Macaca mulatta: one gene and its partners. The protein of the gene in region 1 interacts with the protein of each later gene in a pairwise test. Links are inferred from orthologs where the notes say so. Each region holds a gene or a part of one and is shown in the gene's direction. Other genes may lie near its edges.

What was found.
Region 2: the proteins of SH3GL1 (region 1) and SH2D4A interact in binary tests that used the Homo sapiens proteins (3 or more experiments, as listed by UniProt). The two-hybrid records come from large-scale screens. The link is inferred for Macaca mulatta from reciprocal best matches to the Homo sapiens genes SH3GL1 and SH2D4A.
Region 3: the proteins of SH3GL1 (region 1) and DPPA4 interact in binary tests that used the Homo sapiens proteins (3 or more experiments, as listed by UniProt). The link is inferred for Macaca mulatta from reciprocal best matches to the Homo sapiens genes SH3GL1 and DPPA4.

Annotation. Positions count from the first base shown.
Region 1 is NC_133424.1:5,195,533-5,199,832, reverse strand, and holds the start of SH3GL1 (endophilin-A2), read left to right. Parts: upstream 1-1,500; 5' UTR 1,501-1,888; coding exon 1,889-2,149; exon of another isoform or gene 2,150-2,826; coding exon 2,827-2,895; coding exon of another isoform or gene 2,896-2,940; exon of another isoform or gene 2,941-3,339; intron 3,340-3,561; coding exon 3,562-3,634; coding exon of another isoform or gene 3,635-3,683; intron 3,684-4,300. UniProt on the Homo sapiens protein: Implicated in endocytosis. May recruit other proteins to membranes with high curvature.
Region 2 is NC_133413.1:20,954,308-20,958,375, forward strand, and holds the start of SH2D4A (SH2 domain-containing protein 4A), read left to right. Parts: upstream 1-1,268; 5' UTR 1,269-1,910; coding exon of another isoform or gene 1,911-1,956; intron 1,957-2,031; exon of another isoform or gene 2,032-2,212; intron 2,213-3,305; exon of another isoform or gene 3,306-3,407; intron 3,408-4,068. UniProt on the Homo sapiens protein: Inhibits estrogen-induced cell proliferation by competing with PLCG for binding to ESR1, blocking the effect of estrogen on PLCG and repressing estrogen-induced proliferation. May play a role in T-cell development and function.
Region 3 is NC_133407.1:174,302,065-174,306,067, forward strand, and holds the start of DPPA4 (developmental pluripotency-associated protein 4), read left to right. Parts: upstream 1-1,203; 5' UTR 1,204-1,326; coding exon 1,327-1,350; intron 1,351-4,003. UniProt on the Homo sapiens protein: May be involved in the maintenance of active epigenetic status of target genes. May inhibit differentiation of embryonic cells into a primitive ectoderm lineage.

The DNA of each region.
Region 1 (4,300 bases):
ACCAGGGTTAGGAACGCCCACTCCAGACAGCGAGCCCAGAGGCGCTCTCTGCTGAGCCTCCCTGTGGCGCCCAGCTCTGCCACAGACTCTCGGTCCCCTCCGTGCTCAGCAGTGCTGGTGCTGAGGCCGCAGTGAGTAGGGCTCTGACGGGCAGGAGCCCACGCTTGGTTTCCGCGCTTGCAGCTGGCGCTGCACTTGGCCTGGCTGCCTTGCTTTTCCCGTGTTTCCCTTGTGGCCATTCATCCCTGTGTCCATCTGTGCCGGTTTCTAGTTTGTGAGCCTTGGAGAGAAGGGACCTTACAGGGTCGTGTCCCCTGCCCAGTGCCTGGCCCGTGGGGGACTATCAGTCACCACAAGGGACTTAGCTGGAGCTGAGCAGAGGGACCTGGGTAGTTAGGACACAGCCTCCTGGGTGTCAGGGGTGTGAGGAGTCAGGTGGTTGTGGGGGTTCAAGAAGTCGTTCTGGGGCTCAGGAAGGCAGGGTCCTGGATTCCCAGGTGAGATGGGCAGGCGGGGCCGGGGCCAGAGCCAGAGGCCACCAGATGGGTCTTTGGTGCCATGGCGGGTCCCCAGCCCCTCCCCTCAGAGGCAGGATGTGGTCCCCGCCGGCAGGGCCTCTCCTCCTGCCCTATGTGAGGCAGGGGGCTGGGGAAGGGCCCTGACGGAGCCGCTCCTGCCAGCCTGCACACCAGGTCCTGCCTGGGCAGGTCATGGGGCCGGGGTGGCCTCAGCCCAGAAGATGTGGTTTCGCGGCCCGCTGGCTTCAGTTCTCCTCCCGGCTTCCCAGAAGAGTCCAGTCTCACATCAGCCACTCATTTCCCTCTCCGGCAGCCGCTGGCTCTGAGCACGCCCTCTCTCGCCACAATCACAAGAAGTGAAACTGTCCCAGGAAATAGAGTGGAACGCCCCAAAAACACCTAGGGAGGGCGGCTCCTTCCTCCTCCTGCCTTCAGCAGAAATGGAGGGCAGCCCCACTCTCCTGCCGTGCAAGGGCCATTTCCTGCCTTTCACCTGTGCCAGAGTCTAGCCCTCCCGCGGTGGGTGTGACGAGGGGGTTTTTAAGAAGCTTCCAAGGTGTTGTGTGGCTGAGTTGAGAACCACCAACTCACAGGCAGGGAAGGGACGGGTCAGAGGCGTGGGGCCTGGAGGTCGTGTGTTCACTGAATGCCCGGCGCACATGAAGGCAGGTGGACAGAAAGGGTCCCGATGCGTGGGTGAGGATAGTCCCGTGGTGTGGGGGCTTCCAGAGCCAAGCCTTGGAGGAGGGCCGGGAATTCCTTGGGAAAGGGGCGGCTGTCTTTTTGGGCAGGATGCCAGGACACAAGACCAGCAGTGTACTCTGGGCAGGCTACCTTTTGCAGAGCTTGGGGTTGGGGGCATTTGCACTCGTGGTGCCCTGGGCTGTGACCTCCAGGCATGGGCTGGAGGGTACAGCAGGTGCCTGGCATGGGCAGAGCCCCAGGCTCAAGCTTCTCCCGCCCCCGCACTTCCTGCTCTTAGGTCCTGAACTCCTGACTGCCCTGCTGGACACCCCCCAGCCCCACACAGCCAACGCAATGTGGCACCGCAGGGACACTCATGACATCCCTTGGCGACATCTTGTGACAGCTCAGGGCAGGCAAGCACCAACCGGACCTGGAGAGCACCATGGTTGCCTGGTCCAGGGGCACAGGCCATGGCCCGTGTCAATAGTCACCAGCCCACGGCACACAACACCTCCCTCTCCTGCCCAGGCTGTGTGTGCACATCTTCACACAAGTGATCAGACCCGGGACGTTAAAGTTGCCGATGACTTGCCCCCAGAGGGCAGGGCCAAGCGTGTGACCTCAGGCAGCCTCCCTCTGGGAGCCTCCATTTCTGGCAGGACCCGGCAGCCACTCGGCTCTTCATGAAGTGCTGTCTGCTGGGAAGGGCCTCACACTATCCCTCTCGCTCTGTTCGGCATCCCTTGGCGCCAGGCACACATGGAGTGCCCGGGGTGAAGAAAGCAGCGCCTGTGCACCAACAGCGGTGCTGGGGTTCAGGGGCTCCTGCTATGTTCCATGGGACATTTCAGGGCTGTTCTTCGCATCCCAGGCGCTGTCAGAGGGAGTGGTTTGGGAGTTCAGTGCCTGCTTCTGCCTTCTCACTACACGAGGAAAGAGATGCTGTAAGTGCCTGTCATTGTCATCGCTTTCACTGTAGCTGAGAGCCATGAGGACTGAGGTGTGCCAGGCCTGTGTCGACTGCCTTGTGAAACTCAGTGTCCACATGGGGCAGGGGCCAGGCTGTCCCATCCTGAGACACGGGCACCAGAGCACAGGAGAGTGGTGGCCTCCCTGCCCAGCCGCCTGCACCTCTGCTCCTGTCAGCTCCTGCTGCCTCTCCCCACCGAGCTGGCAGGATTTTTTTTTTAAGTAGACCCCAAATACTCAAGGATGGGGGCAAATCCCCACATTGCTATCTGTGGGGATGTTTGTGTAGGCACTTCTGGAAGCAGTGTCTTCTGAGCCATGTGTTCCCAGGCTGAGGTTCTGGACTCCACCGTGGCCGAGATGGGGCCTACTGTGGCGGGGTCCCCAGTGGGCATGTGAGTGGCAGTCAGGACACACACAGGCGGGCAGGCTACCCCCACCCTCACCCTCCCTGTCCTGCAGGCCCGTCCTGCTCCACAGGCAGTGTGTGGCCCTGGGGTGCCCACGGCAGTGCCCGAGGTATGTGTCCTGATCACTTGGCCTACTGCCTCTGGCTGTGGATGCCATGTGGCTGGAAGGCCACCCAGGGCCTCCTGTGCTCTTCTTTATCCTCCCCCTGGGCTCACAGCGTTTCACCTCTTCTGCCCTCTAGCTGGTCAGTGAGAAGGTCGGAGGGGCCGAGGGGACCAAGCTGGACGATGACTTCAAAGAGATGGAGAAGGTGAGGAATAAACTGCATGCTCTGTGTGGTGGCGGCGCTGCTGGGGCCTGACCTCTGCAGGGCATAGTGGAGGCGGCCAACGCTGATGGGCCTGGGTCTGGACTCCTGGGGCCCTGCAGGCGTGGAGAGCTGGGGTGGTGTGGGGGCCTCGTCAGCTGGACTTGACAGGCACCAGCTCTCTCCCCTGCCCTGGGCAGGCAGCTGTGGGGACATGGCTGAGCTGAAGACATGGAGAGGGGGTTGGGGGGTCCTGGTATGGGCTCGTACGGCAGGAGGTGGTGCAGCAGTGGGGGCCTTGTGTGCCTTGGGCCCCCAGTGGCTGTGGAGTCTTTTTTTTTTTTTTTTTTTGAGACGGAGTCTTGCTCTGTCGCCCAGGCTGGGGTGCAGTGGCCGGATCTCAGCTCACTGCAAGCTCCACCTCCCAGGTTTATGCCATTCTCCTGCCTCAGCCTCCCGAGTAGCTGGGACTACAGGCACCCGCCACCTCGCCTGGCTAGTTTTTTGTATTTTTTAGTAGAGACGGGGTTTCACCGTGTTAGCCAGGATGGTCTCGATCTCCTGACCTTGTGATACACCCGTCTCGGCCTCCCAAAGTGCTGGGATTACAGGCTTGAGCCACCGCACCCGGCCTGGCTGTGGAATCTTATATGCTGCTTCTCTCCACAGAAGGTGGATGTCACCAGCAAGGCGGTGACAGAAGTGCTGGCCAGGACCATCGAGTACCTGCAGCCCAACCCAGGTGGGTGCTCTAGCCACTGCCAGGGCCTGCCCCAGGCCCTCTGGCCTCTGTCAGTCAGAGGGAACGTAGGGGATGACAGAACCACCAGGCTCATGGGTGGCAGGCTTCAGGCACAGCTGGATTCAGGGGTGCAGAGACCATCCTTGGCGCCACATGCTGCCTTTCCACCTCAGCCAGCAGCTCAGTCCCCCTGTTGACTTCACTATCATGCCGACTGATTCCTCGAGGCTGTCCCAGCCTTAAACCCCTCTTCCAGCCAGCAGTCCTGGCAGGGAGCCTCTCCCTCAGCTCACTTGTGGGACCTATTTGTATTGGCCGCCCCCTCACCCAGTGCCCCTGGGATGGGTCTCCCTGGCCGAGAGACGGACCTTTCCCCAAGGAAAACCCAAACACTGGCTCCATAGGAGGCCAAGGACAGTGGGTAGACGCACACCCAGCAGCGTCCACTCAGGCCCTGCCAGGAGCAGGCAGCAGAAGGGACACGGCTCCTCACCTACCCTGGGAGCCTTGGCCTCACCACCCCCCACTGCATATGACTGCTGTGCCTCCTCCCTGGGACCCCCCAGATGAGAGGTATAGCCACATTCCAAGAGGAGCAGCCCTTGGAAGGAGGATGTGTTGCCCCCTGAGGAGCTTGGTCACCTCTCCACCCGCTGCCAGTTCCTT
Region 2 (4,068 bases), on another chromosome or scaffold:
TAAGAGAAGAAGAGATCATGCCAAATACAGGAAAGAGGCATGAGACAAGAAGGATGGAAAGGGGCAGAGAGAAAAGGGAAGAGTCTGGGTTCTGAGCTGATTGTGCTATTTGTGTACAGTGTGTGTTCCTTTGGGCTGTTAACATTCTTTCAAGATAGAAGCTCCAAGATGTTTCCTTACCTAATCTCCTAAGTGGCATACCATCATCACTTCTGCCGGGTTCTATTGGTCAAGCAAACCAACCTTTACAAAGTGGCGGGGAGCTATGCAAGGGTATGAATAACAGGAAGACGGGATCCCTGGGAATGACTTGGAATGTAAGTGGCATGGTGGGCAGAACCATAGCCTAGGGTGAGATAGCAGGAACCTGGAATTATAGTACCTTAATGTGATATGAACTGATCTGAGCAAATGTGTTTGAACACTCACCACATGCCAAGAGCTGTTCTAATCCCTTTGCATGCGGTATCTCATTTAACCCTCTTAACAACTTACGGAGGCAGACACTCTATCCAGAGAAGAAATTGAGGTACAGAGGTTAGTAGCACAGTGACAGAGCTATTATAAGGAAGGACTTGTCAGGACCTGGAGAGAGACTGGGTATGAGAAAGGTAAGTGGCTGTCACAGTGTCCTATGGGATTTTTCCAGATAAACCACCCTGTATAGTTAACCGATCCATCCATGCAGGGCTAGGATTCATTTCGACCTCGCCATAGTAGCTTTCCAGGGGCCAATCCCACTCCAGCCTAAAGCACCCCATAGGCTATCATTTAAACTGCAGTAGGAACTAAGCCTTAGACCAGAAATTTCTCCCTGATGGGATCCCTGGAATGGTTCCTAAATAGCTGGGTCTTGTTTCCTGACAATGCCGCCTGCCCCGAGGCTTGATGTGACTGCATAGCTTCTGCCGTTTGTAAAGGCGGGGAATGACGTTTTATGTTTGAACCCAGCAGGTCAGGCTCCTGAAGAGGTCAGGTAGTCTGTGGAGAGGACTACTGGTGTTTGCTATTTATTACATCTCTCCCAACACATAAAATCTGGGGTTCACCAAAGCAGGCGGTTTTCTTCCACATACTCCTCTAGGATGGAAAATGCCCTCCAGTGGAAATGCCTTTCCACTCTGCTTCTGCTGAATTTTCCTCCAAGATTTCCTCTAACTGTGGACTGCCAGCTCCTCCCTGATGTCTTCAGGCCCCAACCCAACCTGTTCTTGTTGCAATCCACAAGACTCCTTTCAGCATCTTAACTTTTTCCCCAGTTTTCTTTCATTTTCTCCTGGTCTGTGTTGACTGCGGTCTCCTTCTCAGCCTTTTCCGTCCTTCATCTTGTCCTACAAAGCCACACCTGTACCGACAAGTGCCAAAGAGTTTGATCATTTACTTAATGTCAACAAAAGAAAGAAAAAAAAAGCTCTAGAGTCGCCTTGGCCTGCGGCACCCAAGCCGAGTGAACAAGTGGGGCCCGCGCACCCTCCTACCCTCCACCTCGCATGGAACCCCGAGCTCTGAAACATGGAAAGGCCCAGACCTGCTGATTTAATCTAAGTCCTGCAGTCCCCAAGAGATCATAGACTGCAGATCCCAGTCCCACGAACTAAGAGAGGAGAGGAGCAAGGCTACCCCGGACTACCGCAGCTCGGGGACAGCGCGCAGACCAGGCGGCCCGAGATGCGCAGGCCACGCAGCCTGGCCGACGACTGTCCCTGGAGAGCCTCCAGGCGCCCGGGTGGGGCCGCGATCGCGCCCCGCTAGTCACCCGGCATGTGGGCGCGGCGGGGCGGCGCGGGCGGGCCGGCTGCAGGAGCTGTTTGGCGTCCCGGTCAGAGTATTTGCTCAGCCCGCCTGCGCCGCTTGGGACGCTTCTGCCTTTCCCTCCCTCCCTTCCCCGACGGCTTCTGGCGGCCAAGTGGATGTGGCGGGTGATCGGGCCACCCTGCCCAGGGGCGCCCAGCACTGGTAGGTGCTGGGGTTGGGGAGAGGCTTTGGCGAGAGTGTGCATGGGGTGGGAGTAGGGGGAAGGGAATTTCCTCGGGGGTTGCAGGGGTGCATGGGAGGCGCAGGGGCCAGAGGGGGCGGGCGGAAGCCTCACCCCCGCCTCCACCCCTTCGCGCCGCCCGGGGCGGGCTCAGGTGCGGGGTTAGGCGGCTAGAGCGGCTGCGGCGGGTATCCGGTGTCCGGTGTCCGGTGTCCGGTGACTGGAGCCGCTGGCTAGGTGAGCGGCTGTCCCCGGGGTCTGGGGGCTTGCAAGGGGTGGCGGGGGGAACTTCGAGGGAGAGGGTCTGCCGGAGCTGAGGACTTTCGGGGAAGTTCTGGGATCCGGCGGGGACACGCGGCGCGTGCTTCTACCCGCAGGGAGTGCAGGCCCCGGGAGGGTCCGGGCTGGACTGGAGTTTCTAGACTCCTAGCAGGAGCACGTCCTGGACCTGCGCCTGGAGATCTTCCAAGAGGGAAGTCCCGGGAAACAGTGGCAGCCGGCGCAGCACCCCGGCAGCGCGTTCCCCGCGCGCCGGCACCCAGGGGCGCCCCCAAGTGGGGTCAGGGCGCGCGCGGAGGCCCGTGCAGCGCCGCCTCCCAGGGGCTGCTGCGGCGGGGCTGGCCCAGACCCAGACCGGGTGCCCACTGGGCTCAACCAAGCGGCGCCCCTGCCCGCTCCTGGACTCGGGGGTTACGCGGGCACCGGAAGGAGCTACAGTTTGTAGGTTTTCTGAGTTGTCTTTCCCTTCCCAGGGAGCTTAGAGAAACAGCAAGCGTGGCACCTCCCCCTTCCGAACAGATGCTCCTCATCGCCCAAAAGGCTTTTATTTGATTGCTGGTTTAATGGAAACAACGACTTGGGTACCATTATTTTAAAATAGTGAATAAATAAGTGGAAAGCATACAGGGGCATAGATTTGGCATAGGAGTGGAATTTTCTATGTATACTAAATCTGTGTGTACAGTAACTTCAAATTTCTGAAGAATAGTATATATTTACAAAACTTGCCAAATTGCTGTCATCTCTGGTAATTTGTTTCATCTCCAAAAACAGCTCTTTTGCTGGTAGATGAATAAGATAAAGTTTGAATAAGAAAACAAAGCTCGACCACAGAGCTGGCTGTTTTAAAAGAATTAGAATTCAAGCTGTATTGTTAATGTTATAGTTACACTGTCCATACCACAATACTTTTATTTATTTTTTATTTTATTGGGTAAGTGCAAAAGTAGTTGTGTTTTTTATGGCAAAAACCACATTTATTTATTTATTTAGGCCATAAAAAAACACAATAACTTTTGCACCGACCTAATGTTTTTCATTTTTGAGGCAGGGTCTCCTTCTATCACCCAGGCTGTAGTGCAGTGGTGCGATCTTGGCCCACTGCAGCCTCAAACTCTCCAGCTCAAGTGATCCTCCCACCTCAGCCTCCCAGGTAGGTCGGACTCTAGGTGTGGGCCACCACACCTGGCTAATTTTTATATTTGTGTAGAGATGGAGTTTTGGCATGTTACCCAAGCTGGTCTCGAACTCCTGAGCTCAAGCAATCCACCCACATTCACCTCCCAAAGTGTTGGGATTACATTTTGAACCACTGTGCCTGGCCTACTATTTTTATGATTTAGGCTGTATCTTAGGCCTTTAAAATTTTTTATTTTGTTTAGGTATCAGAGTTATCCAAAAGACAGTTGTATGGTAGAACAGTGTGAAGGTGTGAGAATCAGGTCAAATCTATGGTATCATGGAAAACAACAGATTCTCTGATCCTTTAGCAATTGCTGTTCAGAATAAATTGCAGGTGTGGGCTTGCTTCTTATCATTTCTCTCTTTTAAGAAAGGTGCTGTGTTAGCTGAGCTATTCCTTTGTTGGATCTTGAATAACTGGAGGTTTGCTGCCCTTGATATAGTATGGGAAAGTCCTCAGCATTTGAATCCGTATCAGCAATGATTATTTGTTCTCGTCAGGGAATGAAAGTGGGAAAACCCTGGTTAGTTAATTTCCTCATTTCTATTTCTTCTACCGTGGCTCCACCAGTCTCCTTCACTTCACAGTAGATTATGTCACATACCGACTCATTAGGAGTCACAGACTGAAC
Region 3 (4,003 bases), on another chromosome or scaffold:
ACACAAACCTTAACTAGTAAGTCATACTGGTGGTTATCAAAGGCTGTAGTAAAGAATTGTTAAATCAAAGCCCTAATATCTCCCAGATGACCTCAACTCACCTGGTTTCCTCTTTGCCACCTTGGGGGTTGCCCAGTCCACAACCTGCACTTCCTTCTCCATTCCTAGGCTCCGTTTAGTTACTTTCTCTGTCCGTGGATTTCTAGCCTGTGAGCAGATTACTAACACCATTTGGATTAAAGATGGTCTCTTATTTATCATTTTAGGACAAGCGAAAAAAATACAACAAAGTAAACCAAAGAACGAAGGAGACTTTGGACCCTGACAAGGGAGGGTTTCAGTCGCACAGCCACTGCTTCCTTCACTTCACATCTCTTGACAACCTGACAGGGAACATTGATCTGAGGAAGGATTTTTCAAATTATTTTAAGGAGAAAAACTTGAACTTCTTTGGGAGTCAGTAGGTTAGGGGTTCACTTACTGTGCTATTGGAAAAGTTACCAATAAAATTTTATACCAAACTTTAGTCATATATAAAATGGGGAACAATAATGACTGAGTTTTAAACCCTCAATTTGAGATATAAAAAAATACTTGGGCTGGGAGTGGTGGCTCACGCCTGTAATCCCAACACTTTGGGAGGACAAGGCTGGAGAATCACTTGAGGGCAGGAGTTCGAGACCAGCCTGGTCAAAATAGCGAGATCCCCACCCACACCCAACTTGCCCTCTACAAAATAAATAAATAACAAATATTCTATAGACTTTAAGAGCTACTATTATTAGTTCGTTGGCAGATGAAATGATGCTGGGTATTAGTACAGAGAAACCTGGAATTTTAGTTGAGTGAGTAACTTAGGAAATGGAATGTATTTGGTACGAGAAAATAGCTTTCTTCAAGCCGCCAGTCTGGTCCCTGAAGTCTACTGTTTACACAAGTCCCATTATTAAATCCCTTCACACATCCTGCTCAAGTCTCTGGCCACATTTTTTTTTTCTCTCTCTGTAGAATCGTTCTGAAGGAGTCCTGAATCTCCCAAAGTCTCCGGAACCATACTTTGGATAATTACATTTAAAGTGCACAGAAAAGGGCCAGGAATGGTATTAGTAATTCAACCCAGACAAAGGTCACCCCATGAATAAGAAAGAATGCAATTTTAGCATTTACAAATTGTGGGGGAGGGAACAGACGGGGAGAAGAAAATAAGAGGTGAGGAGGGGAGAAAAAGGGTCTTCGGGCGGCAGGAAGTGGGAGGAGACTTTGCAAACAGCAATCTTAGGGCTGGGGCCATTTTGGAAGCATTTGCGAGGCTCCGCTTCTACAAGTATGGAGAAGGCAAAAGGCAAGGAGGTCAGTACAGTTTTAGTGGATTTGTTTTCTGTCTTCGTCTTCGTGTTTCTGTCTTCCCTGGGCACTCTTGATTTTTCTATTGAGGAGAAAAGAATGCGCCTTCGAATTTTCTCCTCTTGACTTTTTTTTTTTTTTTTTTAAGAGTAAAGCCCAAGAACATGATTGCAGCCTGGTATATTGGAGTGAGGAGACAAGAAATGAGGTTTTCTAGGGTTAGTTGAGGAGGTTGAGGGTGTCAAAAGATAGGGGGAAAGAAAGAGGCCGGGCGCGGTGGCTCACGCCTGTAATCCCAGCACTTTGGGCGGCCGAGGCGGACGGATCACCTGAGGTCGGGAGTTCGAGACCAGCCTGACCACCATGGAGAAACCCCGTCTCTACTAAAAATACAAAATTAGCTGGGTGTGGTGGCGCACACCTGTAATCCCAGCTACTCGGGAGGCTGAAGCAGGAGAATCGCTTGAACCCGGGAGGCGGAGGTTGTGGTTTGCCGAGAAGGCGCCATTGCACCCCCAGCTTGGGCAACAAGAGCGAAACTCCATCCCAAAAGAAAAAGTTAAAAAATCAGGCTTTCAGGTTAGTTTTGGAACAGGGTCTCTCACTTTGTCTCCCGGGCTGGAGTGCAGTGGCACCATCACTGCTCACTGCAACCTCGACCTCCCAGGCTCAAGCGATCCTCCCACCTCGGCCTTCCAAAGTGCTGCTGGGACCACAGGCGCGCGCTGCTGCTGCCCGCCGGTTTTTCTGTTTTGAAGAGGTGCTTTGTCCTGTCAGAAAGAATTAACCGAATATCGGGGCTAGAGGGAAATGGTAACAGGAGAAAAGGGTGGTAGGAAGAAGTAATTGAGATTATTATTTTTTTTAATGAATCGAGTTTCACTCTGTCGCCCAGGCTGGAGTGCAGTAGCCGATCTCGGCTCACTGCAGCCTCTGCCTCCCGGTTCAAGCGATTCTCCTGACTCAGCCTGGGACTGCAGGCGCGCACCACCACGCCCAGGTAGTTTTGGTATTTTTGGTAGTGATTGAGTTTCGATATGTTGACCAGGCTGGTCTCGAACTCCTGACCTCCATTAGCCCACCTCGGCCTCCCCAAAGTGCTGGGATTACAGGTTTGAGCCACGGAGCCCAGCCTTGATATTTAAATTTTAATTTATATCTAACGTACTCTTAATCTGTGTGTCTTTATGTTACCTCTGATCCTCAGCTTCTGTGTCTGAGAAGTAAATTGTTGCCAGATTGCTATGAGAATTAAATGAATGAAAATAAGGAAGGCCAAGACCAGGCACAGTGGCACATGCCTGTAATCCCAGCACTTTGGGAGGCCGAGGTGGGCGGATCACTTGAGGCCAGGAGTTTGAGACCAGCCTGGCCAGCATGGTGAAACCACGAAAACCAGCTGGGCGTCATGGCGAGCGCCAGTAATTCCAGCTAGTCGGGAGGCTGAGGCAGAGAACTGCTTGAACCCGGGAGGTGGAGGTTGCAGTGAGCTGAGATTGTGCCACTGCGCTCCAGCCTGGACGACAGAGCGAGACTCCTCTCAAATAAAAAGAATATAGGGAGCCCTTGGGCGCTGTGGCTCACGCCTTTAATCCCAACACCTCATCTCTACGAAACATTAGCCAGGCGTGGTGGTACCTGTAGTCCCAGCTACTCAGGAGACTGAGGCAAAGGATCACTTGAGGAGGTAGAGATTGGAGTGAGTTACCGTCCTGCCACTGCATTCCAGCCTGGGTGAAAGAGCAAGCCCTTTTCTTTAATAAATGATTTATTTTTTTTGATACGGAGTCTCGCTCTGTCGCCCAGGCTGGAGTGCAGTGGCTGGATCTCAGCTCACTGAAAGCTCCGCCTCCCGGGTTCACGCCATTCTCCTGCCTCAGCCTCTCGAGTAGCTGGGACTACAGGCGTCCGCCACCTCGCCCGGCTAGTTTTTTTGTATTTTTTTAAGTAGAGACGGGGTTTCACCGTGTTAGCCAGGATGGTCTCGATCTCCTGACCTCGTGATCCGCCCGTCTCGGCCTCCCAAAGTGCTGGGATTACAAGCTTGAGCCACCGCGCCCGGCTAATAAATAAATATTTTTTAAAAAAGAATGAAAATAAGGAACATATCAAAGCGAATGCCTGGTATGAGACAGGGGATCAATATATCTTACTGTCTCTGGATTAAACAACTTTTCTCCACTCCCACTTTGCTTCCTTTGATTCAATTAACCAATATTTATGAGTGCCTATGATGAAAAGGAAAGAAATGCTATCCTCATGGAGCTTATAGTCAAGAGGAGTGTCAATCATTAATCAAATCACACAAACAAATTTAATTGCAATTAACAAGTAGTAGAAATGAGACAGTATGTAGTAGATTTGTCTGAAAGGACTAGAAGGGGTTCCCAGGTTAAATAACACTTAAAAGAGGAAGATTTTTAAGGTATAAGATTTTGAAGTGTAAATAGAAGTAGGGTGGAGGTTGGGGCTGAGGAATGTGTAACAACTTTGGAAAGGAAAGGAAAGGAATTACGCGGCTGGAGCTTGGGTAGGGAGAGCAGTGTGAAATAGAAGGTAAGAGTCTGGTAGGTAATGTTAAAGACAATTATTTTTATGCTGAGAGCAATAAACCACTGAAAGGATGTGTCACTCTGCCAACAGTGTTAGAAAATAATTT